Linked DNA regions of Bombyx mori. The protein of the gene in region 3 binds, or shares a complex with, the protein of the main gene of each other region. Links are inferred from orthologs where the notes say so. Each region holds a gene or a part of one and is shown on either strand. Other genes may lie near its edges.

Evidence for each region.
Region 1: eIF3c (region 3) and eukaryotic translation initiation factor 3 subunit E share a complex: the UniProt entries of both Drosophila melanogaster proteins name them as parts of the eukaryotic translation initiation factor 3 (eIF-3) complex. The link is inferred for Bombyx mori from reciprocal best matches to the Drosophila melanogaster genes eIF3c and eIF3e.
Region 2: eIF3c (region 3) and eukaryotic translation initiation factor 3 subunit J share a complex: the UniProt entries of both Drosophila melanogaster proteins name them as parts of the eukaryotic translation initiation factor 3 (eIF-3) complex. The link is inferred for Bombyx mori from reciprocal best matches to the Drosophila melanogaster genes eIF3c and eIF3j.
Region 4: eIF3c (region 3) and eukaryotic translation initiation factor 3 subunit A share a complex: the UniProt entries of both Drosophila melanogaster proteins name them as parts of the eukaryotic translation initiation factor 3 (eIF-3) complex. The link is inferred for Bombyx mori from reciprocal best matches to the Drosophila melanogaster genes eIF3c and eIF3a.
Region 5: eIF3c (region 3) and eukaryotic translation initiation factor 3 subunit F share a complex: the UniProt entries of both Drosophila melanogaster proteins name them as parts of the eukaryotic translation initiation factor 3 (eIF-3) complex. The link is inferred for Bombyx mori from reciprocal best matches to the Drosophila melanogaster genes eIF3c and eIF3f1.

What each region holds. Positions count from the first base shown.
Region 1 is NC_085111.1:12,362,252-12,368,697, forward strand, and holds the start of eukaryotic translation initiation factor 3 subunit E, read right to left. Parts: upstream 3,881-6,446; 5' UTR 3,820-3,880; coding exon 3,724-3,819; intron 3,640-3,723; coding exon 3,523-3,639; intron 3,079-3,522; coding exon 2,911-3,078; intron 1,627-2,910; coding exon 1,504-1,626; intron 708-1,503; exon of another isoform or gene 569-707; coding exon of another isoform or gene 382-568; intron 1-381. Other genes in the region: zinc finger protein 280B, read left to right, coding at 382-568; uncharacterized protein LOC119628513, read left to right, coding at 5,163-5,243, 5,326-5,557, 5,889-5,974. UniProt on the Drosophila melanogaster protein: Component of the eukaryotic translation initiation factor 3 (eIF-3) complex, which is involved in protein synthesis of a specialized repertoire of mRNAs and, together with other initiation factors, stimulates binding of mRNA and methionyl-tRNAi to the 40S ribosome.
Region 2 is NC_085125.1:12,540,368-12,546,121, reverse strand, and holds part of eukaryotic translation initiation factor 3 subunit J, read right to left. Parts: intron 4,668-5,754; coding exon 4,526-4,667; intron 822-4,525; coding exon 657-821; intron 1-656. UniProt on the Drosophila melanogaster protein: Component of the eukaryotic translation initiation factor 3 (eIF-3) complex, which is involved in protein synthesis of a specialized repertoire of mRNAs and, together with other initiation factors, stimulates binding of mRNA and methionyl-tRNAi to the 40S ribosome.
Region 3 is NC_085122.1:5,757,534-5,763,723, reverse strand, and holds the start of eIF3c (eukaryotic translation initiation factor 3 subunit C), read right to left. Parts: upstream 3,660-6,190; 5' UTR 3,525-3,659; exon of another isoform or gene 3,421-3,524; intron 3,256-3,420; 5' UTR 3,232-3,255; coding exon 3,139-3,231; intron 873-3,138; coding exon 458-872; intron 363-457; coding exon 1-362. Other genes in the region: soluble NSF attachment protein 29, read left to right, coding at 3,862-4,659; gastrula zinc finger protein XlCGF57.1, read right to left, coding at 5,754-6,190. UniProt on the Drosophila melanogaster protein: Component of the eukaryotic translation initiation factor 3 (eIF-3) complex, which is involved in protein synthesis of a specialized repertoire of mRNAs and, together with other initiation factors, stimulates binding of mRNA and methionyl-tRNAi to the 40S ribosome.
Region 4 is NC_085122.1:3,667,645-3,673,398, reverse strand, and holds part of eukaryotic translation initiation factor 3 subunit A, read left to right. Parts: intron 1-1,280; coding exon 1,281-1,473; intron 1,474-2,202; coding exon 2,203-2,307; intron 2,308-3,383; coding exon 3,384-3,513; intron 3,514-4,436; coding exon 4,437-4,639; intron 4,640-5,209; coding exon 5,210-5,361; intron 5,362-5,681; coding exon 5,682-5,754. UniProt on the Drosophila melanogaster protein: RNA-binding component of the eukaryotic translation initiation factor 3 (eIF-3) complex, which is involved in protein synthesis of a specialized repertoire of mRNAs and, together with other initiation factors, stimulates binding of mRNA and methionyl-tRNAi to the 40S ribosome.
Region 5 is NC_085124.1:489,388-495,791, forward strand, and holds the start of eukaryotic translation initiation factor 3 subunit F, read right to left. Parts: upstream 4,278-6,404; 5' UTR 4,223-4,277; coding exon 4,114-4,222; intron 3,847-4,113; coding exon 3,700-3,846; intron 2,778-3,699; coding exon 2,554-2,777; intron 1,303-2,553; coding exon 1,024-1,302; intron 1-1,023. Other genes in the region: DNA repair protein XRCC1, read right to left, coding at 5,232-5,369, 5,685-5,810, 5,925-6,130, 6,402-6,404. UniProt on the Drosophila melanogaster protein: Component of the eukaryotic translation initiation factor 3 (eIF-3) complex, which is involved in protein synthesis of a specialized repertoire of mRNAs and, together with other initiation factors, stimulates binding of mRNA and methionyl-tRNAi to the 40S ribosome.

The DNA.
Region 1 (6,446 bases), on a different chromosome or scaffold from region 3:
ACAGCCTTATTCTAGTAAGGAATCATAAACAAGAATGGACACTCTGTCGTTAGTTTGAGTTTGATTTACGGAGATTTACTTTTTTTTTCTTTTTTTTATTGCTTAGATGGGTGGACGAGCTCACACCCCACCTGGTGTTAAGTGGTTATGTCTAAGTTCTAAGGTCTCAGTATAGTTACAACGGCTGCCCCACCCTTCAAACCGAAACGCATTACTGCTTCACGGCAGAAATAGGTAGCGCGGTGGTACCTACTCGTGCGGATTCACAAGAGGTCCTACCACCAGAAGACTTACTACTTAAAGCTTGTAAGCATCACACACTAAGATTATGTGCATGAAATAAGATGGAACTCTGTAATTAAATTAATAAAATATTTGCAGATATAAAGCTGAACATTTCATGCTGAAAATCATTCAAGATATTAAAACCGATGAGCCAATGATAAAAGCGTCTATCAGTATTTTAGCTCATCAATGTGAGCTATGTGGTCTTTGGTATAACGCCCTTTCAGAAGTAAAAGCCCACAGAACACAAGTTCACCAACAGTTTGATGCTATAGTTTATTAATATGCAATTTCCCTAAATGCTAGTTGTTACTTGCAATAAATTGTATTTTTTTTACTTACAAATAGATGTAGTATTTAACATTCTTATTAATTAATACAAGAAATAAGAACTGAAATATATTAATTTACAACTTCATAAATCTTTAAAATTAAAAGTGTTACATTTTATCTTTTTTTCATAGATGGGTACACAATCTCATTGCCCACCTGCTCTATTGATACTGGATACTATAGATATCACAATGTTCATATTATATCTACATAATAATATATTCCTAACCTATCTAATACATGAAGTTGAATTTTTTTTTTTTTATTGCTTAGATGTGTGGACCAACTCACAGCCCACCTGGTGTTAAGTGGTTACTGGAGCCCATAGACATCTACAACGTAAATGCGCCACACACCTTGAGATATAGTTCTAAGGTCTCAGTATAGTCACAACAGCTGCCCCACCCTTCAAACCGAAACGCATTACTGCTTCACGGCAGAAATAGGCAGGGTGGTGGTACCTACCCGTGCGGACTCACAAGAGGTCCTACCACCAGTACCCAACTGTATTGTAGAATAGCTGTCCCAACCTTCAAAACTTAATAACAGGTTCATGATAGAAGTAGCCAAAACGGTGATAACTACGCATGAGGATTTCCAATACCCCCTATTATCAGTATATGCTCGTAGGCTATATCAGTACACTATAATAATATGCTGAGTACTGCTGCCCATTCTCTGGCGAATCTCGCGTGACTCTAGGGGAAAAGCTGGTGCTATACCACACACAGAGTAAGTCGCTTTTATACATTGCTGCCTATACATATTTTGACAAATTTATTTTACAAGTCTATTTAAATGTCATAACAATGGCTTCATTTCATAATACATAGGTATTTGATAATTAAATACAATATGACATATTATGTTTTTACTGTTCCTTACCTTGTCAGTTGGCGACATCACCAGTTGACAAAAGTAAAGATATGATGCTGACTCCACATAATTTCCACATTCATAGCGATATTTGGCCAAACGATACATGCTATCGATCATTTCAATTTTAAACTGGAATAGAAATTGATATTAGTCAAACCATTCTTTTATTTTTAGTTTTATTTAAGGATTTATATTTATAAATTGAATATCTTGCTGGTAGACATATTTCATATATCTACTATATACTAAATATGTTTACTAAGACCAAACAATTTTAGGCTTATTTTTTTCTTTTTTTGGTGGACGAGCTCACAGCCCTCCTGGTGTTAAGTGGTTACTGGAGCCCATAGACATCCACAACGTAAATGCGCCACCCACCTTGAGATATAAGTTCTAAGGTCTCAAGTATAGTTACAACGGCTGCCCCACCCTTCAAACCGAAACGCATTACTGCTTCACGGCAGAAATAGGCAGACAATGATTTATAAAAAATATATAACAATTCTACTACATTCTACTACTGTATTTAAAAGATATATCATTAAAATTTATTAAGTTAACCAAGGTAATATTCCACTTAAAATTTATGATCTGAAGATAAAATTCTGTAAGCTGACATCATAAGCTAAGGCAGGTAGAGGATGTATATATGTTTCCTTTAAAGTGTACATATATCTAATGTATATGATATTAATAATTAAAATTATAATTATTTATGCAGAATTTTCTCAGCTGCTTGTTGTATTAGCACAAAAAAGTCTTCTTCTGAAGAACGAAATATGAAATTTTGATACACTGCCCTATTGCAAAATTCAATATTATACTGCAGTATTCTATGACATAATTCTTGAGTAATATCAAGAAAAATCTGGCATTGGCATAACAATATTTTTGTCAAAATCCATGTCAAATTACTCTTCTAATTTACAACTATTTTTTGTCATAAATTGCTATTTGCTCAAAATAGTGCTTAGTATTTTACTTTTAAATAAGATTCCACTGAATAATGAATTTGATCTTATTGAGGGGTTGGAAAAATAAATGCCCCACACTTGCTATTATCTTGATAAATATTTATACAGAAAAGCTTTTTACTTTTAAGTTACAATCGTACAACAATTGAATGAGGTGTTCTATGCCTTTCGGTTATATTATTCGGCTTTTGTATAATGTTTTCTTTTGTTTTGATAATTTGTGATTGGGCATAAAAAAGAAAGAAAGAAATATATATTTGGGAATACCCTTCTCAGGACTGTCTCTATTAGAGTATGTAAAATTGTTAACAATTTAATTTAATTAGCATTTTAAGTTATTATTCTTTCTTCATATAGAATAAATAATACTGTTTTGCTGTACTGCATGGCAGTTTAGTAATTATCTTTTCATTTAGTTTCCGTTGTATGAAAGACTCACCTCATACTCCTTGTTTGTCGAAAGATGGTTTATAAGAGTTTTAGGATCCCTCATGGTTTCAATTGTTTTCATTACATCATCTCTTTGCATGAGTCTCAATACTGGCTCTACTGCATCTTGAAGTTCCTGCAGTTCCGAAAGAACTACACCTCTCCGCTGTATAATTTCCTAGAATCACTTTTAGGTTTAATTAAGTCATTATACTAATTGTATATGCAATTTCGGAAAGGTCACATGTCGCATATTTTGTCAAATACGTTTTTTCATATACATGTAGTTTTGAGGCTTACCTACACCCATTTTATAATAATTCCAGTAATTTTCAATTGCTAATTAACACTAAAACGTATCTCAAAAGTTAATATTTTAAATTTTACACTGCTTTAGAAAATAATCAGTTTTTTTTCATCTCCTGAACATTTTACATTTTCAGAGATGTGCCCTTTTCGAAATTGCATATTCAATTATTCTTGTCATAATTATGTATTTAAACACATATACATATACATACATAGTCAGATGTCAGCATCTCTAATAATTTGTGTTAAACATCATTCCGTAAATAAAGTTAATTTAGGACAAATAATATATTTGTTAAAGATAAATTCTTACTTCAGGAGTGTCTTCTTCAGGATAGAGCATTCTTCTGATGTCAGTAACATAATCTATCATGTTAGTTTTGCTCAAAATCTCCAACTTTGCCTGCAGGAGCTCTGACTGGTCATATGTCTGAAAGTATTTGGTTTTAAGCCTTTCAGTTGCTTTTTAGAATGAAACGGACAACACTTTGTAAAACTTGACTACATAACCTACCTCCTTTGCTGCTAAGAATTCTAGTAAAGGAAACACGAGATGCCGATCAAGATACTGTCCTATTTTAAACGTTAAATCAAATTTTGAGTAACTCATGTTGATAGTTTATTTTCATGAATTCTTATGAAAATGGAAACACATGTAGTAGGTAGAAACCAACAACCTGTAATCTACAAATAGTATGTAGTAAAAGGAAAGCACTTTAGGCTACGTCCACAGTAAATATACTGAGTACAGAGTAAGCCAAAGTCAATAGTAGACAAATATTTAAAATGTTATCTATGGCGTAGTATGATATTTTGTTTATTGAGGGACTTTTTAGCGGGAACGCGAGGAGTGAAGTTGTGTGATTTGTTTTATTTTGTCTACTTAGTGTTTCTTCAGGTTTAAATGTATAGTAACGGTGGTTTATTAACTGTTTAGTATCTGTGAAAGTGCACAAATGTGGGAAAATGAAACAAAGCCAATGAACGTAACTTCTCGGGATCCTCCAAAAAGTCCACTGAAAAAATCTCAGTAAATCACCACCATTTTACTGAGATTATATTTCATCCCATATCATATAAATTCATTTGATTTCATCCCAGTTGATTAATGTCTCAAATTAATCATCAATTCATTTTTCATAAAAATAAGAATGTAAATTAAAATAAGACATTACATAAAAGTCTTATGCCCGTATCTTTAGACGTTTCGTAAAATAGTCCTCCACTCTAAACTCATCCGATGATGCTCGAATATTCCTCCCAAACTTACTCGAGTTTGGTATTTTTAGTCGACCATTACAATATTCCTCAACTGTCCTCGAGTAAGGTAGAGAGGTGCTATTGCGTCACCACGACAACATCAGTTTGAGGAAAATTTGATCAAGCTAGCATCAAACCTATAAGAGTTCTGTAGCTTATGGTCATTGTTTAATGTCAAAGTCAAGCTACCACTGTCTGTTTGACACTAGACGCATCGAACTTGTTTGATGTTTTAGTTGAGAGACTCATAAATACGTGCGCGTGCGGTGAAATAGAAGGTTTTCGTTTTTCTAACCCATGATTAATAAATTAGATTTCGGATTTTGAATAATAGCTCCTCCAGGAACCCGGCTTTGTATTTTTATTCGCTGTTTCTTTGTTGAATTTGATTGCATCGTCTTTTTGAAGTGCTTTTCCACAACCACCGGTTTATTATTCAGGTAAGTTATGATTGTGGTGTTTTATTTATTAAATAGTTAACTTTAAGTTAACTCAAATAGTTAAATATTTTTGTCCTTTATTACTCACTGCCTAAGCAAAGTTTTTTATAGATTTTACGTGAAATTACGATGCAGTAAATTATTTGTCGTTTCAGTTTTTCTATGATGACGTCCAGGCAAGTATTTAGCGAAAGCGAGAAGACCTTGCCTACAAGAATTAATTTTAAAATATAATCTGCACAAAACTGCTACCATGACAGCTAGTCAAAACACAAAAAAACTTTTGTGGATACATTTAACAGAAGAATTCAATTCAATTGAATCAAATGCAAAGGTAGATATTTATTTATATTACTTGTATCTGATTTTTACTTGTCTATATATACCATGCTATTCTTATTTATCATTTGTTTTAGCGAAGTGAGGCCCAGCTCAAGAAGTGCTGGGATAATTTAAAAACACGGAGGAAGCACTTTTTAGCTAATGAAAAGCGTCAGAGAATGAAGACTGGTGGCGGACAGTGTGTTCCAAATGAGCCACAGCCTGGTAGCAGCAATGAGACCCTTATTTTTGCTGAGGTTCTACTGGATCAGACTGATGTGGAACTCAGGGGTGACATTGACAGTGATACCATTTACAGTTCTGAAGGTAAGTGAATCTTAAAAATTTGAGATAAGTGCTTCAATCTCACATGCTCTCTCACAAAAAACAGTAAGAACGTGGTGGCATGGAGGGTCTTTTGATTATTGTTATATATCTATATGAGTCGAACTACATGTATTACTGTGCTAAAAACTAGATAAATAATATGCGTGACAATACCTGATAAAGATTTTCACTCAAGAAACCATTTTAATAATCATAATGAATATACCACATTCTGATTAAGAACAATATTACTTTAAAATTCTTTCCTCTACTCCAACTATCACTATTATTCTACCATACATAATTAAAGATTTTATTGTTTTATTTCTAGATATTGCAATGGAGCTTGAAACATCAGTTCCAGCAGTAGCGCAACCACAACAGAATGATGAAGTTCTGAGTGTCTATCTATATTAATTAGTTAGGGTAAAGCACAAATAATGCAATTTGTAAATCTAATCTAAATATATCAATATCTTTTTATAACTTCACCTTAATTGTATTGAATCAGATGAATTGACTATCACATTTTACTCAGTCTAATTAATAATTCGACTATAGTAGCTCAATCCAATTGTGGGATTTGAAACCACCCTTAATACCTTAATTACCACTAAAGCTATCATCACTTCAAAATCATAAATATACATTATATAGATTACTAAAATGTTACAAATATAGATGTATAACAATTGCATTTTATTTAATTACAGGAGGGAATGTGCGCACCAGGGTAATTCAGGAGGAATTTAAGTTTAGAAAAGAATCTTATGAAAAGAAAGAGAGAAGAGAAGATGAACTCTTTCAATTCCAAAAAAAGGAAAGAGAGTGGATGATGAAGGCAGCAGAAGAAGTATATCTAAAAGCAAAGGCTGAGAGGGAAGCTGCA
Region 2 (5,754 bases), on a different chromosome or scaffold from region 3:
TATGTTTTTTTATTGCATAGTTGGGTGGACAAATTTACGGCTCATCTGATGTTAAATGGTTACCGGAGCCCATAGATATCTACAACGTAAATACCGCCACCCACCTTGAGACATGAGATGTAAAGGTCTCACTTTTAACAGTACGACAGCCGCCCCGCCCTTCATAGCGAAACGCAACAAAAAATCCAGAATTTATTAAATTTTATAAGACTTTTTACACTTTAGCGGCATCTAATGAAAGAAAGTTCACAATCATAATAATGGAGTTGCTCTGAATTAACTTCAATCTAGAAATGAAAGATTTCATTTATAAATGTCATATTCTACATTGGTGACCACCACTGACAATGAGAAGATATTTACTTCACGATGATGATTACGTATTAAGCAGAACCAAGCCCCATATTAAGCATGAACTATATGTTTATTTATTATTAGGTGAATGAGCTCACGGCCCACCTGGTGACAAGCAGTTACTGTGACATCACAATGTGAATGCTGCCATACTCCTTGAGACATTATGTCGAAAGTCTAAATTGTGCAGTACAACGGCTACACTACACTTCAAACTGAATGCATTACTGTTTCACAGCAAAAATCAGCAATTTGAATTACAAACACAATCAATGAAGTCATAAACAATGAATTTTACTTACTCTGGACTAAAATATTCTTGACTAGGTCATCAATGAATCCTGGAAATTCATCCTTGGCTTTATAGAAAGTGATCTTCTTTGTAAGGAGATCAGCAAACTCTGTGTACTCTTCTTTTGTAGTTGGGTGGAAATTGTCAAGTTTACCAATGTTACCTTCTGTTACACCTGTAATCATTTTCATGGGTAAGTTATCTAATCTGATAACTAGACATATTATAATAAAAACATTGTCTCATATGACTTGAGGCAGTTTTAAGACTTGCCAAGAAATTGTGCCAAGTAATCTTAATATATATTTTGGACAATCAATCATTACATTTGCTAGTAGTTTTGAACACAATAAAATACGATTATTGTATGAGAATATGAATGTTTATTATTTTACTCAAAAGCCTTATTGTTATTAATAAATAATAAAATAAAATAAAATAAAAAGCCTTTTATTTCTTGCATTTAAAAAAAAGTTACATTACAAAAATTATAAAAAAATTGTTGATAATACATTAATAATAATCGATATTAATTATGATAGAATTCTTAATAAATTGTGTATAATATTAGTCGGATCAACATAAAATATGTAAAAAAGGTTATATTAATTTAGCATGCAGGCATGCAAGAACCCCTCTTATGTGAGGGTGAAGGCCTCCTCCAGACTTTTCCATTTGTCTTTATTTTTGGCAATTGTCTTCCAGTTTTTACCAGCGATTTTTATTATATCGTTGTCCCAACGCGTTACCGGTCTTCCTTTCCTTCTAATACCTGCAGGCCCCCGCCATAGCGTGAGTCTACAGGTCCAGCGGTCGTCGCTCATCCTGGCTACATGGCCTGCCCAGCGCCACTTTAACTTTTGTGAGAAATCTAGTGCATCTATAACTTTAGTCTTTTCCCGTATGACATTATGTGGGATTTTTTGTATTTTTCTCACATTCGTAATGCTTCTCTCCATACTTCGTTGACAAGACCTGATTTTGTTCTTTACGCGTAGCGTATATTTCCACGTTTGGCAGCCGTAGGTAATAGAGGGGAGCAGGCACGTGTCCATTAGTTTCTTTTTTAAGTTAATAGGCATCGTTCCCTTTAGTATGTCTTTTAGACTCCAGAATTTTTTCCATGCGCCTGAAATCCTTCGTTCAACCTCTAATTCATTGTTTTGTTTTCCAAAGGAAATTTGTTTGCCTAAGTATATGTAGCTATCTACGTATTCTAATGGTTTTTCGTCGAGATATATGGGATGTTTTATACTGTTCGACATAATTTTTGTTTTATCTAAATTCATTTCCAAACCCACTTCATAGCTCATAGTTTTTAGCGAGTGTATCATTGATTCCATCTCTTTAGCACTTTCAGATAATAGAATAATATCGTCCGCAAATCTTAGATGGTTGATGAAATTGCCGTTAATATTCAGCCCTTTTCTTTCCCAATTTAGTTTGCTGAAGACCATCTCCAGTACCGCTATGAAAATTTTCGGAGATAGTGGGTCGCCTTGCCTCACACCTCGCCTTATGGGTATCGGTGGTCCTGTCGTCTCAAGTTTGACTCTACTTGTGCAGTTGTTATACAAACACTTTATTATTTCTATATATTTGTGTTCAACGCGTTGTGAGATTAGGGCGGTCCATATAGAAGAGTGTCGGATTGTGTCGAAGGCTTTCCGATAATCGATAAACACAACATAGAGTGTTTTCTGATATTCATTATATTTTTCGACAATTTGTTCAATTGCGTGGATATGGTCTATTGTAGAATATCCACGTCTGAAACCAGCTTGCTCTATTGGTTGGTGTTCCTCTATTCTCTTACTAATCCTCTTTTCGATTATTGATGAAAAAAGTTTGTAGAGTGTGGGTAGCAGACTGATAGGACGATAATTGCCTATATCAGTGGGATCACCCTTTTTGTAGAGTAGAATCATGTTCGACTCTGACCATTGAAAAGGTGTGGTGCCTGAATCTAATATAGAGTTAAAGAGCTGTGTCAGAGGATGTGCAAGATATTTAGAGCCTATTTTTATTGCCTCGTTAGTGATTCCATCGGGCCCTGGACATTTTTCAGCTTTAAGTTTTTTTATTTCTTCTATAACTTCTAAATCATCTATCTTTTTTATCTGTGAGACGTCTTCCGCTGGTACTTGTATGCTGGTGCTGACAGATATATTTGTAAAGTTTTGGACTTGACAATCATACAGTTTTTTGTAGAAATTGGTTGCGGTTTTCATAATATCAGTCCTATTATGTGATAGTTTATCTGACTCTTTTAGTTGTTTAATCCAAGGCTTGTAGGTAATTAGCTCCTTGTACGCCTTTTTAATGCTCCCAGTAGTATATGTTTTTCAAATGTTTTTGATCGATGGAGCATGTAGTCTCTCCTTATGTTCTTACTTATGAGTTTATATAAAGCTTTTAGTTCATTTTTCAATGCTCTTGTTTTTGGTTTGGTTACATGTAGTTGCTGTCTCCGCTCCATGAGTTTCCTAGTATAGGCTGATATTACACTAGGTTTAGTAGTGTGTTTTTGGGTGTTTTGTGCGCTACGTAGACTTTTTTCTATATTGTTATTATAATGTATTAATTATTGGAGGAATAATTATTATTGCTCAAATTTATGCAATAATAAATGCTATTGTTACACCACAACCAGTAAACATAAAAAAGCAGTGTATTTATATTTCTTATTTTCCTCTGCATGTTGTGAAAGGCAACTAAGGATTTCACCAGAGAATGGGTAGAAGTATTCTCTGTATAAAATCAGCATACTATGATTGTCAACTGACATTTAATGAAAGAAAGGCACAACATAAACCCACACAGGTAGATACCACAATCCTGCCTAATTCTGTCGTGAAGCAGTCATGCCTTTTGATTTGAACAGCTATTACACAATTCAATGAAGACTTTATGTTTCAAGGTGGGTGGTGGCATTTATGTGACTATGTTTGTAGGCTCCTGTAATCATTTAGATTTAGTTCACCCATCTACTCAAGAAAAGTCATACTTCACCCATTTTAAATACACTTTCACATACAATTAACACTTTACGTAAGTATTAACTCTCTAAAAAGATCATATGACAAAATAAATTAATTTAAGGATCATAATTAGAAGAAATATCATTCTCTTATGGAGATATTGAAAACTAGATATGTCATTAAAATCTTAAACGTTCAATGCATGATGCCAATGATTTAACATGCAGCCATGAAGCCTGATATCTCATAAAAGCATAATGGCTGCTGCACAACAGATAAAAGCAGGGTGGTAATACCTACTTATGAGGGCTCACAATAATCCACTTCACCACAATTTTTTAAATTTTTTTTTTATTGCTAGGTGTGTGGACGAGCTCACAGCCTACCTGGTGTTAAGTAGTTACTGGAGCCCATAGACATCCACAACGTAAATGCGCCACCCACCTTGAGATATAAGTTCTAAGGTATCATGTATAGTTACAACGGCTGCCCCACCCTTCAAACCGAAACGCATTACTGCTTCACGGCAGAAATAGGCAGGGTGGTGGTACCTACCCGCGCGGACTCACAAGAGGTCCTACCACCAGTAATTACGCAAATTATAATTTTGCGGGTTTCATTTTTATTACACAATGTTATTCCTTCACTGTGGAAATCAGTCGTGAACATTTGCTGAGTACGTATTTCATTAGAAAAATTGGTACCCGCCTGAGATTCGAACATCGGTACATCGCTCAACACGAATGCACCGGACATCTTATCCATTAGGCCACAACAACTTCATTATATTAGGGATTATAAACCCTCTTTTAGAATGTCTACTAATTATTGCTTAAAATGAATCTTATTTTGGAATCCACAAACTGTAATACGAGCACACCAAATCAATCAAGCATACCAAAGGTTTCCATGGCTAGTCGCAAATCTGATTCTTCCTGTAGCTTCTGCTGGCGAAGTTTCTCAGCCAACTTCTGCTCTGGAGTCATTTCTTCTGCAGTCTTCTCTGTCACGAGACGTTCAGCCTTCTCACGTTCTTGTCGCTAGTAAAATTTTATAATTTAAATATTATGGATATTATATCAATTCAAGAGCAACTATAGCCTGTCAATTCTATGAAGTTATGAAACTATGTTCATTTTTCTGGTGAATTATCGTATTTTAGATTTGGTTATTATCCCAAACATGATGTAAGTTAACCTTTAACTTAATATTGTCATACCCTATACAAAATTTTAATACAAATTCCTCATGAATTGCAAAGGGTGTTGAATGCTGTGCAAAAGAGTCAGGGCCTCACATGACCTTTGTCTGCACACAATGATCGCTGTATATAAGGTAATAAAGCAATACGCTTTATGCCACCAGGACTACAGAGGTGATATCAAGCAACACCATCAACATAAAGTGTGTAACATCCATACTTTGCATAAAGCGGCAAGATCAAGTCTCAAACTGAGATATTGAGGATGAAGGTAAATAGTATTGAAGCACTTCCAACAAGTGTGGATGACTCTAAGTTTCCTAGATTTGTCTTTTACTAACAGCTGAATTATGAACAGTGAGCACCTGGAGGGCAATGCTAATGTTACAGGGGATGTTTTAGAATGTCATCCAACTGTGTCTAATATCGCACACAACGGAGTCCAGAATGATACAGATATGCTCACAAAGCTGTCTCAAGATTTGAAAAAAAAAAGTGTATACAAAATTTGGCCTTCCTCCTATACTTTATGTAGAATGCTGATGGGCTGTTGTATTGTGCACCCTGCAACAGACCCTTCAAGACAAAATGTGGCTTCCCTAACCATATTTGAGCACATAATCAGTCATAACCAGATGTTGACACACAATATGTCAAGGAAGATGATATATGATGACTGAGTGGGATCGTCAGCTATCATTACTGAGTGAACAATTGCTAGCAAAATGTTATTTTTAAATTCCACTTTTTATGTTACCTAACAGGAACACCCTCACTAGCACCAGATTTCTTTTCTGTTGTTTTTTAAATATTAATAATTAATGGGTTCTTAATATATTTTAATTATTATTCTGATATTTTATGCTGTCAAATGAATTTAATATTAATTGCAAGGTGATGATAATCCATGAGTAATCTATCTTGTT
Region 3 (6,190 bases):
AGGCTTATCAGAAGTCGCCGCACCCTTTCTGACTGTTTCCCATTCACCACCATCATCAGCTACGTCGCGTTTATTGATTTTACCAGACCTTTCACGTCTTTCCTCACGTTTCTTTAGTTTAAGTTTTATTTTCTCTTCATCATCCTCTTTCTTGGTAACTTTCTTGATGAATTGTTCACGAATATTGGAGGTACCACGTTCCTCATCATCAGAGCTAAAACTGGAGTCAGAAGAACTAGAAGCCCAATCCATAGAATCTGATGATTCATCATCTTCTGGTGGTGGACGAAGAAGGGGCTCGGGTTTAGGCTTCTCTTTAATTGGTTTTTCTTCATCTTCAGACTCATCTGATGATGATGAATCTATGAACAAAGTTTGTTATTAATTGTTTTGCATTGAATATGAAGTAGTGTTGAAGAATGTAATTTAAGTTTTCGTTTATTTTTAATTTGCTTACCTTTACGTTCATTGTCATCGGGTAGATCAGGATCTTCACGGAACTTGGATATTTCAGCTTCAAAATCTTTAGTGTACTTCCTAAGTTTCTGTCTTAGTGAGGTAAGAGCTTTACTGTTTCCTTTTGATAGAGCTTTTCGGGCTTCACGTTCATTCCATGCTCCTACTACCCAATCGTCCAATTCTACAAGAGCTCTTATGAAGAATCTAGGAGCAACTCCATTCTCCTCCTTTTGAACAACCGGTGCGGCTCGAGTGTATGCCTTTTGGAGCTCTTCGAAAGAAGCTAATGCTGAACTAAAATCCTTGATTTTCCGATGATTGCGTATAGAGTGTATAATTCCTTCTAATTCCTCATAACGCTTCTCTTTCATTGAGCGCACAACTCGCTTTGTTTCTTCCTCATCGTCACTAAACTGTTGCCAATATAAAGAATTATAATTAATTGTACTTTTCTTGTTCAATATTCTTCTACAGTTGACTGAATTATTAAATAAAATTTGAAAAAATTATTATTCTAAGCTTATAATTCTAAAGATGTAAAATAGACATGTATTAATTTGTTTGAAATTGCCACCAACTAAATCAACGATCTTGAAAAATTTTTGTACCACAGACCAAACAAATTTTATGTAATAAGGCGAACCTATTCATGCTTAGTCGATTTTGAAAGTACTTCAGAACGAGAACTCTAGTAAAATAATGTAATAGCCCTTAATATAGGAAGTCCGCTGAGCGGACGCGGCACTGTTGCCGCCACTGGCCGCGTCTGTTTGAAGTCCTTTGAGCGGACGGGTCCCTGTTGATAGATAAATGTGATTTGACATTTCACGTATCTGTGGAGTCCGCTCAGAGGACACCGCACTGGGGAGAGGTTAATGTATCACAATAGAACATTAACTAGAGTTACAACCATGCTCGGTAAGAGCTGTTGTTAGTAAGCTAGTGTTAATAAGAAATAACTATCCAGTTGATTTTATTAACGCAATATTATAATGGAAGAAATTTTCAATACTCGAATAATCATCATTTGAAGACCAAAACTAAGACATGTAAAACATGCATGCCGTGGTAGCGCAGGCTCTTCTTACACAAGTATACGCAACCTTCCTGTTGTTCACTTATCCTGAGTGCATACCTCAAAATAGAGGCAATTTACTGAAATGACTTGGGACTATAATAATATTGTGAATTGTAATTATAATCTTGTAGAATTTTCCCACAATGGCGCACTTTTAAGATTTTTAATCTGTTAACAATATACAATATTAAAAGATGACAACAAAAAAAAAATTAGCAAAAAAACACAGCAACTCTTATCTCCCAATCAATTTATAACTTTTAGTCTGATCATTTTCTTTTTAAAATTTGAAGCATATGTTTAATGTTTATTACAATTAACATTAGATATGTGTCGTTCGCCAACGAACGAACCAAACGACCCGGGTTTCAAAATCCGCGCGAACATTTCAAAAAATATGAGTCGTTCACTAGATTGACCCGTTTAACAAAACCTACGAATCAGAAGAAAAGAACCATGCAACAGTCATTCGGGTCATTTCGGGTTGCCGGGTCTCGCCCCGCGCCCGTCTCGGTTAGACGTTCGCTGTCGCATAATGACGCATAACGTATTTGAATTTTTTTTATCTCACCTAAACAATCGAACTATAACAGTTCCTTTAAACTGTTATTCAATACTAAACTTCATTCAGCCAGTGACCTGATAATATTAATCACATCATAAATTGGTGTGATTAACGGAAATCCAAACGTTTGACTGAACGGGTCGAACGAACCGGATCATTTTGTCAACAGGTCAGTATTGATCTGATTCTCTAAAATTGATTGAACAACACATATCTAATTCACATCACTGTACTATTCCGGAATCAAAGCATCTTGTTATACAAGTCAAGACAAATTAATAACAAATTGATATGCCAATCACTAGATGCACTTATTAAACTCATAATTGAAATAAATAGAAGTTTTAGTGGCTTACTATTGTTACTATTAAATTATTTATCCATGTATATTATTATATTACTCCAAATTATCTTTCAAGCAGTATGCCAGTTGACCAACAAGTCTACTAAGAGTTTAGGAACGAAAGAGTAGCACGAGCAACCCTTTGTCCTGCCAAGATGTAACTTGTGGGATTTTTTCAGATATTTTAAATTTAACATGGGTTGAATCCTATGTCATACCTTATTTATTATGAATTAAAAATGTTTTAATAATATTATACCATATTTTACAAAGATGACTGAATACAAGAAATAAAATTTATAATTAAAATAATTTCACAATCATTACAAAATATGGCTGTTCCCTTTGCCCATTCAATTTTTTGGACAAGTCGTTAGAAAGCTGTAAGCTGGCACAATAGCAGATTGCGAGCAGAGCAGAAATACATTATTGATCGCTACCCCCTCTATTAGCTACTGATAGTGGACATTTAGGAAAGAATTTAAAGGATCACATTTTTCAAAACTTCTAAAAGAGTTACAAAATTTTGCTAATTGCATTGCTGATTACCGAAAAAAAGTTTCATATATCTTGTCATCCTACATGAGATTAATGTTAGTCTCCCTTGGTAACTTAAAAAACTATTTATCTTTTTTTAAACTATAAATTGAAAATTTTGTTTCCTTGATTCCCAATTATTTATTTTAAATTTACCGTGTAAACTGGCGCGGGGGCGCGTACTACTGGCTCGTCCTCGCTGCTGCTCTCTGACTCCGAGTCCGTCCCAGTTGCAAAGAAACGACTCATATTTACAAGAGTTAGTTAATGCTTCTGTAAAAGAAAACTTCGTTAATTCCAAATGAACATTATTTGACTCCAATGGTAATTTATTTTCTTAAATATCTTAAATAAACATCAAAATTAGTAATAAATAGTTGACTTGTCCTCGCGTTGAGGTTATAAATTAGAACTGTTTAACATTTTTACAATACTTACTGTCTTATATTAAAAACAGAGTAGGTATTCAGTTTTCAAGCAATCCTCTGATGATAGACTTAATAAATTTGTAGCGAATAGAAAGAAAGCTCTCAAATACAGACCTTGCCCACGACTCACTTCATACGTCAAACGCATCAAAGTTGATCAAAGAGCTAAACTTTGTTTCAATTGTTCAATTGGAAAGGCAAAGGGAACGTGGCATATTGACTTTTTTTGTTCAATTAGACAGACACTTAAAAAAATCGTTTTATTTGGCTACATCCCTTTGCTCGTCGTATCAGATAAATTAAACCTAAAATAAACATTTATGGTACATACCTACCATAATAATTGTGTATTATCTGTGCTTACCACCCCCATAATTTCAAGTGCATTCTTTTTGAACATCACCAATAAAGTAACGAGAACACACCTACGTAGTAAATTACATTTTAAGCAATGTCTGGGCATAAATATTTCACAAATCCGAACAACCTATTCGAAAATGACGACGTCGATGATAACGAATTTGTAGATCGCTTCCGGTCAAGAATACCTCAAACACAGCAAGCAAATAAGCCTTATGGAGGTCATATTGCAGAACTGGAACGTCAACGCCAAGCTATGATCCAAACACAAAGAGAAATCGAACAACGGACAATAGATTCATCAACGAGAAGTATCGGATTGCTTCGTGATTCTGAACAAATTGGTATTGCAACGGCCGAAGAGCTTTCCCGACAACGTGAACAGCTACAGAACACAGACAGGCGACTTGATGAGATTAACACCAATTTAAACTATAGTCAAAAACATTTAAATGGTATAAAGTCTGTATTTTATGGTCTGAAGAATTATATTTCCGGAAAAAGTGATCAAACACCATCTAAAAGTCCAGCGACCTCGAATGTACGTAATGCTGGTACAAGTAGTAGCAGGCTTGATGAAACCCTAGATAATATGTCTAGGAACGTTGAAGATCGCTTTGAGAGTCATCCCTCAGCACGCCTACATGGTTTGTCTCAAGAAAGCGCTAAGAGTCCTGAAACAGAAAACGAGAGAGTAAATAATATACTTGATTCGAACTTGGATGAAATGGTGCATGCTATATCCCGGCTCAAACATCTAGGAGTTGCACTTGGTGAAGAGATAGAACAGCAAAACAACCTCGTGGATACTATTCAAGACAAAGTTGAGATTGCAGATATCAAGATTGGTAAACAAAATAAACAAATGAATAAACTACTTGGGAAATAGCAATAATTATAGCAAATTAAAGATTTATTTTAAACAACAACTAAAAGGGTCTATTAATCTATTAAATGTATCTGTTTATAAAGATTTAGCATGTTTTTAATGTGAGTGGTTTGCAAAATTCAGTAGTGTAATCATTTTGTGTGATAAGGAATACTAATGTATGGCAAAGTTTGATAAGATTATTTTTTATTTGAATCACATGACCAGCAGCAATTTGATAAACAACATGGTGTAAAAAGGGGATTTCATAGTAAAGGAAAAATCCATATATAATAAACCTACTAGTAATGTAAATTGTCTGAAAGGCTTCTTACTGCATACTAATGCTCTATACATTCGTCACCACTGCTGAGCTGACTGGCATTTTTATAAAGCTTCATAGTATGTAATAATGGTTCTTGTGTGATACTGTCCATTGTTAGCTGATCATGTACACTTAGTTACATCTAATAAAATGGTGTATGATTCATATTATTTAGGTAAACCTTTTCTGTATCATATTCGATCATCATAACCTTCATTCATTCTTCATAACTTTATTGTGCACAGTATATAGTAAAAAAAATTATCTTGTAATCTTTAAATAAATGTGTTATCTTTTTGGCTAGCAACTTATCATGACAAATTTCTTCTATTTGTTTCTAATTGTTGTTCATGCAATTAGAGACAGTTACAGTATAATAGCTAGGTTTCACTATTTTAAGATAAAGTTTTAAGTACACTTAAATATATATAAATAAGACTTGTGTGCAAATAAAACAATATTAGGGCAAAACAACCAATATAAGGTGAGTACTTACTTTAAGTACCTATGTTCTATTAACTAATCCAAATTTTAAATGGGTGAAAGTTCCAGACACCTCATCATGAATTATGTTCTTGCATCATAAAGTAAGGTACATACATACTAATATTGTTATCAATGAGTTAATGTTTGCCATTAACAATAATTTCATTTATATCCAAGAACCTAGCGATAAGTGTAAACAGTCATTATTATTATATATACTTATTTTATATTGTTTCCATTAATAAATATATTTCAAATCACAAATGCTTTATTTTCTTTAGTTTTTTAAATTCTAGATAGTAATTTACATATTTGCATCAAATACTTGTTCGAAGAAAGTATTATCAACAACAGTTTCCAATATCATGTCATTGGCATCAACATTATGAGTTTTTATATGTTTTTGAAGAACTCTTTTATTTGACAGTTTCTTCCCGCATATATTGCAATGGAGCTCCACAGTGGCATGAGATTCCATATGCATTTTTAAGCCTGAGGCTGTTGCAAAACCTTTGAAACAAGTTGTGCATTTGTGCTGTCTCTCTGTCGTGTGAGTGTGTGCAAAATGCACCAACAATGAATGTTTGGTGGCAAAGCTTCTTTCACAGTCTTTATTGGAACATTTAAATGGTTTTGGTCTCTGTTGGCCAGTATGAACTATGCTATGTTCCCGTAAATAAATAGCTCTGGTGTAAGCTTTAGGGCAACTAGGGCAAGCAAACTGTTTTACTCCAGTATGAC
Region 4 (5,754 bases), about 2.1 Mb from region 3:
CACCCACTTTGAGATATAAGTTTTAAGGTCTCAATATAGTTACAAAGGCTTCAAACCAAAACGCAATACTGCTTCAAGACAGAAATAGGCTGGGTTGTGGTACCTACCCGCACACACTCACTACAATCTGTCCTACAACCAGACCACGTCCGTACTAGGACAGAGCGACTACACAGCCCTAATTCACTATACACTAGTATGATACTAAAGGACTGCCTCCTGCTTAAATCTGTTATGTATATTCAATTCTTAAGAAGTCATTGTAATTTTTGTGCCTCTGAAATAAATCCCATTTGTAACCCTAAATGGTTATATGATGGTAGGCCTCAGAGGTAGATCGTATTGTAGCTAGACGCGACAGAATATACGACACGTGTATAGCCTGTGTTAATGTATGCTTGCACATTTTTTTTCATTTGATGTATCGGCTTTCAATTCCGCTATTATATTTCATGTGTTTTATTGAATTAATTTAGCTAAATTACACAACTACAAAAAAAATTTCGTTCTTTGTCCAAACGTTTATACTAGATTTTTCCAGTTAATTATTCACAAAAACGAAAACAAAAGTTTGCTTTTGTGATAGTTATAGTAATAATACTCATTTTTCAACTTTTTTATAAATTTTTTATTAATTTTAATACTTTAAAAAAAAAACGCGCTATCAAAGTGGGGTGTTTACGTTCACACAGTGCCACTAGATGGCACTCGAGTCATAAACAACGGTCAGGTGTTTTGTACAAGCCCAGAAAAACTTAAAATGTCACGAAAGTGTAAATACGATGCTGATGCATTTTGTTTCATATGTGGTCAATTTATTAAAGTTCAAAAGCAAACTGTTTCATGCCATGTATTATTTTTTCGTCTAATTACGATCTAAAATATCGAAATTTTAAGTTTTGCCATCAAAGTCAAAATTGGTGTTGACCCGTGTTATAGATAGGTTAGAAAAATAAAACAGGTCCACTAAAAGCTTTCAGAGCTATGACGATCGTTAATTAATATTAGAAATAGGACTAAGCAAAGGTGGTAAGTAGGACCTCTTGTGAGTCCGCGCGGGTAGGTACCACCACCACCCCGCCTATTTCTGTCGTGAAGCAGTAATGCGTTTCGGCTTGAAGGGTGGGGCAGCCGTTGTAACTATACTTGAGACCTTAGAACTTATATCTCAAAGTGAGTGGCGCATTTACGTCGTAGATGTCTATGGGCTCGTCCACCCGCATAAGCAATAAAAAAATAATAATAACCGGAACAACTAACGAAATGATTTGACGTATCAGGCGTCAAGAGGAGCAGCTCCGCGCGGCCGCCATCGCCGAGGCCCGCCGCTTGGAGCAGGAGCGTGAGGAGCGCGAGAAGAAGCGCCACGCGTCGGAGCTGGCCGCCATGAGGGAGCGACACCTCAAGGAACGCATGGCGCACATCTCTCAGACCGCGCACGGACAAAAGATGCTCGGAAAACTCAATGAGGAGGTTCGTCTTGTTTACTGTTCTCATTTGCTGCATTAAAGAACATAAGATAATTAAAGGAAATAATCGATAATTATATCTTAATCTTAATTACAATAGATCTCTTTCTAATTAATTTAATTAAAAAAATCTAATATTAAAAAAAAAAAACATGCCCGCTGATTTTCTTGCCAGTTCTTCTCAGGACGCAGGCTAGTTTTTGTGAATTGGCGGTAGTTCTTTTTGACGTTCAACAAGTATGTACTTTCATTTATGTTGAATAAAAAAAATTATTTTTTTTTGATTGATTATATGTAATTCAAAAACTATTTTTCTGAAATTATAAAAAGTCCGGTATCCATTTTTCACGTCAAGCCAAACGCTAACTACACGACACATGATGTCGCATGTGATTAATGTATTAGTGATTCGTCTAGGGTTAACTTACACATTTTGATACCCAACAATGTTACATGAATGTTTAATTAAGTTTCATAGTTTGTGTTAGAATTTAGAAAAATAGAAACATAATTGATTTCCTATGCTTGCCAGACTCGTTTTTGTCGCAGTTCTAATAAAAATGATTTTTCGCATCCTGAGTATTCTTACAACCAGCTAATCCTATTTAGTCTAATATTGGACATTCGTTTTGTCCATTTCCTTTAACACAACATAAGAGTATTCAACAAGGTCAACAAACCTAAATAAAAAAAAAACTTAATATAAAATACATTATTTCACTATTGAATGCAGGATCTTAAGAAAATGGATGCTGAAGCTATTGCTCAGCGGGAAGCTGAAGAACTGATGAAGGAACGTCGCGAGCTTCAGGCTAGACTGAAGTCACAGGAGAAAAAGGTACTGTCAACATTAAAATATCCAGAAATTCAATCTATACATATAAATAAAATTAGAGTGTCTGTTTGTAGTATTGAAATAACCGCTTTTTACTACATGCATATGAATATATATACGGTACATACACCAAAATAACATTTTTTACAATCTTTGTCTGTCTGTCTGTTGTTTGTTCCGGCTAATCTCTGGAACGGCTGAACCGATTTTGATGAGACTTTCACTAATAGGTAGCTGATGATATAAAGAGTAACTTGGGCAACTTTTTGGAGTTTACTCCTTTAGAATCGATTTACATATATAGGCCCGGGGTATGAAAATTATGGGGACCAAAATCGTACTAGCATGTCACACGAAATGCGTTATGCGCCTGATTGGCTCCTGATTGCGTGATGCGTGCGCGCGCCAATCAGGAGCCAACGCGCGGCCGCGTTATCGCAGGTGACGCCGGGCTGCTGCGCCGGCAGTCCGCCACAAAGCCTCGTACTGATCGCGCGTTTCTCTCATTATTGTATTTTCATATATTTGTTAGTCGTTTGTTTTGTGTCTCGTTAATTTGTTAATAATCTGTAGTGTATCGTGTTTTCGTAATATAGAACTATTTCTCGTATTGTTTCGTTTAATTTTTTATATCCAGTAAACTCCAGTCGTGCGTCGGAGCGGACACACACACTTTTTTTTTTTAGACTAGCTTCGCCCCGCGGCCTCACCCGCAGTTATTGTCCTACCGCACGTAACATGGCGGGCTTCGCCTATATCAATAATAAAATTTAATGTTTCCGAAGCGAAGCGAGGGCGGGTCGCTAGTAAATAATAATTGACACGCACTTACCACAAAATGGCTGACACATCCTGTCTTACTTATTTTACATCAACAATTGGTTCAGTGTTAAAATATTGCAACCTTTTTGAAATTCACCACCAACTGGTATGACATGAAATGCTAAGTAAAAGTGTAAACGCTACCAACACGAAGTTAAAATCTTAACATTAATATGTAATATATCTGTGTCTTCCTAACCGAAACTAGTAACACTTTATTTCATAAACGAATTTTCATCAATATAAATAACAAACAGGTGGATTACTTTGAGCGTGCCAAGCGATTGGAAGAAATACCACTTCTGCAGAAGAGCCTGGAAGAGAAACAGGTTCAAGACAAGGCATTCTGGGAGCAACAGGAAAAAGAACGCATCGAACAACTCATAGGTAAGCAAAAAATGCGAAACACTAACACTAAACAAACTCTAGTTGAATTATTTTGTCCGTGCAATTTGGGACATAAATAATCGGAGCGGTGAAGCGAGTATTTCGCTGTCTCTTCCACTCACGGGCCTTATGGACGAGCATAGTGATGCGCATTATTGTTGTCGATAAGCTTTATCGATAGTGTATTAATTTTGTCATTTTAGTGATAAAAATGAAAAAAAATATCACTAATCTTGATAATAATAATAATAAACTTACACTACATATCGCCGCAGCAAGTTAACGAGAACGGCAGAAATTAACACTTTGTAACTTTTCGGGTTCTATTTTCATTTCAGTGAAAAATTTTAAAACATTGTTGATAACAACACATGCTTGTGCTGGTATATTTTTGCCGACAGGCAAAATATTGTTTTGAATAAATTCTGCCGTTTTGGTACAAAACAAAGAAGTAACCATTATGTCACTAAAGAAATTCAGAGAGTGAATGCACAAAAACACATTTCTCTTCGACATGTTATGTACTATAATTTGCAGGTCGGTGCAAATGACTCATAACATAACAATGTCTCACCACCTTTCGTATACCACCCCGCCGCCGTGTACCTGCCTTCGATGACTCATTTGTTTTTATCGATAATAGCGTAGGGCCCGCGCCATGTGGTCACCACCCTAGCCGGGCTATGACTTATAACCCAAACTGCGCCGACAAAATAGTTCTACTATAGTATTTAAAAACAAATTGAATCCAGCAGAATTGAGTTTTGCAATCCAGTGCTTCGAATAGGCGAAGGAAAAGCTGCGACTATGTAATATGTAATTGTAAAATGTAAAAGTAATGTAATTGTGACTACACGTCGCTGCACGTCTCACTGGATGTGACATATTGTCTTGCCACTAATTATACAATTTCCTTGCCTCAGAGGCTCGCGCCTTAGACGTGGCCACGTCGGAGCGCATGTCCCGCATGGCGGTCCACCGCGACGAATTCATGGCGCGACTTCGCTCGGAACGTGGGGCCGCCTACGCTCAAAAGGTAGCCGCTTTCAACGAGAAACTTCAAGCCGAGAAGGAAAAGAGATTAGCTGAGAGACGCGCTCAGCGAATCGAGAAGAGAAGACATGAGGTAAAAGATTGATATGATTATAACCTACAGCCGATCTTTGGAAAATTTCAATAGACGTTGCATTAGATTGTCAGACAGTTGGTTTTTAAATGAGTACAACTCTTATATGTTCCAACAACACCATTGTTCCCGATAATGAAGACTAGACATGCACATAAAAATTTAATATGTTACCATTAAAGCAAAACTAATAAATTTCTGATATGAAGCCGTCAATGCAAAAGTGGCCTAAGCTTACCATAGTTAGTATGAAGATAATGAGGTTCGAATTATCCTTTACAATACTAATAATATAATAGGCAAAAAATACGCACTAAAATGATGTTTACAAAGGAATCTGTTATCTATGGATGAAACTAGGGATAGGCAGATTTTGCATCAAAATTTATTATATTTTAAATAAATTGCAATACGTAAGCACAAACTATTGCGCTGACTGCCTCATATATGAATGATATCCAAAGTTACGAATGTACTAGTATTCAATCTTTTCAACGTTCCGTTAGCTAAATAATTTAAACTTGTAATGTAACAAGAATATTAAAAAGAAAACTAAATTTATTATTGCAGTGGATAACAGAGAAGCGTCGCGCTGAGGAACGTGCGGCTGAGGAAGCTCGACGCATCAAGGAAGAGGAAGAAAAGAGAGAAAGGGAAGAACGAGAGAGGAAACAGCAAGAAGAAATGGAAGCGTTGAGAGAGAAAAAAGAGAAAGAACACAAGTTTGTTATTTACATAAATTTGTACAATTAGTTTCTAGCTAAAAATTAGGTTTTTTTTTATTACTTAGATGGCTGGACGAGCTCACAGCCCACCTGGTGTTAAATGGTTACTGGAGCCTATAGACATCTACAAAGGCGCCACCCACCTTGGGATATAAGTTCTAAGGTCTCAGTATAGTTACAACGGCTGCCCCCATTCTTCAAACCGAAACGCATTACTGCTTCACGGCAGAAATAGGCGGGATGGTGGTACCTACCCGTGCGGACTCATGAAGTCCTACCACCAGTAATGAAATTGTAATGATTGTTTTATTCTATAGAGAGATGTTGGCACGCGCCGAGGCCAAGGCCCGCGCCAAGGAAGCCGAGATACAACGGAAACTGGAGGGACAA
Region 5 (6,404 bases), on a different chromosome or scaffold from region 3:
CGATCCACTAACGGTGCTTTGAGGTACCTCAAGCACCGGTCATCGTTCTCGTCGAATCCGTCGCTTGCGACGAAGGGCTCGACGAGTAAATTAACCCTAAGACACAGCTCGCCGGATCTTCTCAGTGGGTCGCGTTTCCGATCCGGTGGTAGATTCTGCGAATCACGGCTATTGCTAGGGTTCGCGTTAGCAACGACGTCAGGTTTGAGCCGCGTGAGCTCACCTACTAGTTATGGTTACGCTGAAATAGCCTCTCAAGACTATCGGCTTAGGTAGGAAAAAAAAAATCGCACAAAACATTCCGGTCCGAGCAGTCGAACGGAGCGGAGATCTCTGTTGTTATCGCTGTACACTTCAAGTGTAATAAATGTAATTCATTGGAAAAGGGACTCTTAATAATTATTGTCACTATGGAAGGCAATAATAATAATGAATGGGAAATATTTGCATATGCTATGCCCAGGAAAGTGCACAACATCCAGCTTTAAGGTGATTCATTATTGGCCAACCACGCATTCAAATATGTGTAGTTCGACTCAAAATGTACACAGCATTATGCTAAGAGTTACTGAAAACGTAGTTTTTGTTGGTAAGAAATCTATGGTGACATTTTATATCTTGATACTATTTGAAAGTTCACTGTTATGATGCAGTCTGCATGCATCATTGTGAGTTTAATGATATCTTATGCTTAAAAGCAAATGGTAAATCAAACCCAGCACTATATAAAGGTAATGTTCAAGAACTGGCTGACATTAGTACTGTTGATGAGGGACAGCAGAATTGACAAAACTATATTTCAGCACAAGTTTTGGATGAATAATCATAGGCACTTGTATAGTCCCTGTGTAAGTAATTGCCATTAGCAACACAAGTAGATCAGCTAACAAATTGTCTCATAGTCTCGCCTGGATGTCAGTGTTCATGAAAGATGTCCAGAAACCGTCCCATCCTTTATACTTACTCATATATTATGTTCTAGTTAAGCCCACAGCACGGTAGAGTGGTTGAGTGTGAACTTACCATGAGCAGATCTTTGACGCTGGAGGCGAAGGCATCTGAGAAGGTGTCCTTGGCAAGGTCAGGTGCGGAATGTGCGAGCTGCAATAGGGCACGGCCCGCCTCCGCGTCGGCCGGTGCTCCGGCGGCCGCTCCGTCCGCGTACTGCAGCGCCTGCTCCAGCAGCGACTCCAGCGAGCTCGCCGCCGACATCACCTGCGCCAGGTCCGAGCCCGCGGCCACGCCGCTCGACCCGCGACCTCCACCAGACACAGTCTTCTGGCACACTTGTAGACCTACAATCTAATCAATCAAAGCAAACGTTTACTCTATGCCGCAAAACATTAAAACTCTAGATAGGTTTTTTACTGGTGGTAGGACCTCTTTTGAGTCCGCACGGGTAGGTACCACTGCCCCGCCTATTTCTGCCGTGAAGCAGTAATGCGTTTTAATATGCTCAGGCCTTTCCTGCTAATAAGGAATTACCAGATTAATAAGGGATTTTAATATACAGTCAAACTTGGGTAAGTGAGAACTGGATAAGTGAGAAAACTCTATAAATGAGAGTAATAGCCAGGACCCGTCATTTTTAGCTTCTTAGACCTCTATTAGCGAGAGACAGAAACCTCTGTAAGCGAGAGTAGTTTTTTCCCTTATGGACTTCCGTAAGTGAGACTGCTACTTGTCTATACCTCTATAAGCGACAGTCGAGCTTTATTTATTTATAATAATATTATTTAGGAGGAACAAATGACAAAACAAATTACAAATTTAACATCTGCTATTTTATGACCCATTCTTAAATTTCATGGAACTTTTTAACATTGTTTTTGTATTGTTTTCTCGTCAATATAGAACCTATTCTATTTCGTGGAACTAAATAACGTTGTTAATTTATCGCATTCTTTTCGAATGGACACGTGTCCCGGTGTACCGTCCTGTTTGTCAGACTTACTCAGTTTATCGTTAATCAATCGCGAGGGAAAAATCTGTTCTGCATCATGTCAAAACGGAAAATTAAAGTACTGTCATTAAGTGATAAACTTAAAATAGTGAATGCGTTTGAATCTGGAAAATCGCGAAATGACATTCAGAGGGTTCATTAGGGAGAAACTCGGGTTAGTGAGAAACCTCTATAAGCGAGAATGAGATTGTGCTCCCTTTAACTCTCGCTTATCCAGGTTTGACTGTAATTCATACTAAACATTATTAAATTATTAACATTAAATATTTATTATTAATTTATGATTATTAAAAAAAAAAAATTAATAAAAATTAAGTATAACTTCTTACGCGCGCACATAAGTACACGCACCCTTTTTTTATTTAACAATATAACAATATGTGATTCCACACAATGCAGTTTTGGAGTTCATGGATATTGAAATATTAACAAATTTGAGTCTAAAACAGCTCATGATTTTGAAGCCTTTTGAACACAAATTTAAACCTGTAACAGTCAGAGTTTAATGGCCTTTCAGCAGTTTTCACCATATTTTTGCTTAATAAAGCAAATATTGACAATGAATACAGTACAAAATCTTCAATAATTACCTCAGGTTCATAGCATGTGAGAGTGACATCTACAGGAGTGAACATGCAACCTTGCTTTCCATTTGGCACTCCCAATGGTACACAAACATATGCACGTAAACCCATTCGACCTCCAGCCAGCGAAGTGTCCAGAGTAACATGGACAGGCTCACGGCATTCACGGGAATAATACTCGTGTATAACAGAGGAGTGGTTGGTTACTTCATTGCCAGTCGCCCACCAACCTAAAAATAATACAAATGAGTTTGAATTTAAATGTATAAGGTATGCTAAGGGAAGTAAAAGATCCAATTTTATTAATTGGCAATTGTCAAGAGTGTTAACTATAAATGTGGAAGGCTATAGTGGAAGAGGTAGACCTAAGAAGAAATGGATGGATTGCATGAAGGACAATATGTGTAAGAGTGGAATGAGCGAAGAAATGGTATTATGATAGAGGAGTATGAACGGAGAAAATATGTTGCGCCGACTCCAGGTGACTCGGAGAAGGGCAGGAAAATGATGATGATGTGGCAATTAGTTGATAGTAAGATGCAACATGCTGGCCCGCAGATTTACTGGTTGCGATAGCTATGTCAAACTTACAATTTTTAAAGCTTATTGCCAGAATTTTTACGCCAGTAGTCTGTGGACCACATACACGCGGAGAGCTTACAATGCCCTACGTGTCCAATATAATAATGCGTTTAGGATGATGTTGTCACTGCCGCGCTTTTGTAGTGCATCCACAATGTTTGCGACATCTCACACAGATGACTTCTTTGCAATAATGCGGAAGAGAAGTGCATCGTTATTGCGTCGAGTTCGTGACAGTGACAACAGTCTTTTGAGAATCATATCGAGCAAGATCGAGGGACTGCTGATCAATAGCCTTTGCAGTAGGCACTTGGAAGGAGAAAAATAATAATATATAATGGTATAAAATGTATAATATAATGATAGTTATGTGTTAGATTTTTAAGTTACTAACATAGATTATAAGTAATTATTACTAACAAAATGTTATGGTTTTAAAAAAAAATAATAACTGAAATAAAGCATTAATAATAATAATAATAATAATAATAATTAGTGTAAATTGTGTGTGTATGCGTCTGTGAGTATTGTTACATATGTGAATTTGAGTATAATGCAGGTATAGCTCACCAACAATACTTTCAGAGGAATTGACTCTTCTGTTCAGCTCGTAAACATCCATCGCGTAATTAAGTTCCGCTTCGACTTGATCGGCATGTTCTTTGTGTGGCACGCAGAAGCAGTTGGTTACTTCCACCACTCCTTTGTCGCTCGTGCCTGCAGCAACAGCACAACATAACCTTACAACGCCTTTACACATTTGTATTGCACCTGGCTTATGTGACCAAGGAATTTATCAAATTAACTATAACGTTGATGTGGAAAAGCCAAAGTGAAATGTGTAATGATAATTGACGTACATATTTAGCATTTAGGGATTTTTCTTTTAAATAACAACTCATAAAATTTGGTACACGACATGACGTTGACAACTAATGTCCTTTGAATTTATAGTTATTGCATGATTTATAAATCAATACGAACCCAATAAGGTGCCGATAACTCTGTGAGAATCTGCATTTCGACGTTCGTATGCGTCCACAATTTGAAATAAAACAACAGGATGGACCTTCACACTAATATTGAGAGCCATTTTTAATTCGACCAAAACTACAAACCCAGAAACACAGAGTACAAGAGAATATTGTAGGTATTATCTCTGCTAATTTTAATTTTTTTAGGGATTTTATGAACTGGTAATTAAGACCTTTAAGTCATGTCTTATTTTTATGAAAAATGATAATATGGAGTGAAATGAAATAAAATGAAGATGATTAATTTGAGACATTAGGGTCAATTCCCACTGAAAGAGCAGCGGCGCGCAGCGGCCGTAAGAGCAAGTGATTGAGCGCGGCGCCGCAAGGGGCAGTGTGGCGCCGCGCGGGGCAGTGCGGCGCCGCGAGAGGCAGCGCGGCATCCCGAGGCGCCGCAATGAACCTCCGCGTAGTAGCTTTGAAAACTAGTGTGCGATCTACTTCACTCAAGGAAAGTTGTGTGGCAATAAATATGGTGGATTTGGATTTATGTATCATAGCACTGGCTGTAGAAGAAGAACAAGAAGTAACAAACAAAACGGAAAGAAAAAGGAAAAGAAAATTTTGGGTACATTTTTTTCTCACGGAGCGTAGCACGTTCTAACTTGATACCCTCTAATAAAATGACGCGAAATGCGTAAGCGGCAGGGCGGGCGGGTATGAAATGGTCGCTCGCGCGCAGCCGCGAGTCTGTTAGCTGCACCGCGGTCGGCCGCACGTCAGCTAGCTGCGCCGCGATCAGCCGCGCGGCGCCTCTTTTGACTAGTCGGTAGAAGGCTCGTGCAGCCTCGCGACGTCACGCTACCCCTCCTTTGCCTTCAAATGACTATGAACTTTTTAATCACGTAGATAAGATTCAAAATAGTTTGTAATATTTTGCCTAAAAAAGACGCTGCCGGCCGCTGCTCTTTCAGTGGGAATTGACCCTAATCAACTAGAATGAAATTAAATGAAATGAGATGATATGGGATCTTAGTAAAATGGTGGTCATTTACTGAGATTTGTGAAAGAAAAGGCGTTGTTAGCTGACAGTTATTTAATGAAAGGAATTCACAAGTTGAGCTGTCGTTATATTGGACACAGTTTTCGTTGTTGATGACATTTCCACAGCCAGGCTGCAGTGACGGCGCGGCCCTTGATTCGCGGCGCGGCGCCGTCGTCGCACACCACGTAATCTACGCGGCTGTCCTCATCCAGCTGAGACTTCTGAAAAATGTACATTTGTTTAAAATTAGGAAAATATGTATATTTATCCAATCATAGAGGAAATGTGACAATCATGAAATTTTTTAACTATTTTGAATTAATATAAATTTATATAAATATAAATATAAGAATATAAATTTATTGCTCTTGTAGGCAGACGAGTATACGGCCCATCTGATGGTGAGTGGTTCCCGTCATCCATGGACTTCAGCAATGCCAGGAGCAGAGCCAAGCCGCTGCCTATCGTTAAGTACTCTCTACAAGCCTCGTTTGAAGAAGGGCATGTCATATTGTTGTGCCTGCAGCACGAGCGACCTGCAGCACGCGCCCCCCGTAGGCCCGCAGGTAGCGCCAGCAGCGCGCCCGCAGTTGTGTGTCCCCGGCCTCCACCGCGAACGTTACTCCCTCAAAGAACGCCGGCAGCGACTTGCTGTCGTCTATCTGGAAACAATACTTAATATTTAAAAAAAAAGTAATTTTTTTTTTTTTTTTATTGCTTAGATGTGTGGACGAGCTCTATTACTAACTAATCCGTTAGTAATAGAGTGTACGTGCCGCGTGCTCGGCGCCGCTGTCGGCCCCAGCGTCGGTCTCGTCCGAGTCCGACTCGACCGCGAGCGACGCCTTGACTCGTTCGTCGCACACGAACTGCACGTCGGGCTCGCCGCTGCCCCCCCTCGACCCTGTCGCGCCGGCGGGGGGGCTCGGCGCCCGGCCGCGGTCCCGCACTTCCTCGTCGGTGTCCGCTGACTCGTCAGTTTCTGGACGACAAGTAATTGGTCAAAATTACGTTTTAATTACATTTTTGCCTAATTTGTAGGCAGCAGCTTGGCTCTGCCCCTGGCATTGCTGAAGTCCACGGGCGACGGTAACCACTCACCATCAGGTGGGCCGTATGCTGGTCTGCCTACAAAGGAAATAAAAAATAATAATAATAATTAATTTTGTATTGTGGTTTAAAAATATTGGTAGCGGCGTCCGTCTGTTCTTATTAATGAATGAGCAATCGAACTGTCGGCGTGGTGCGTGAACCTG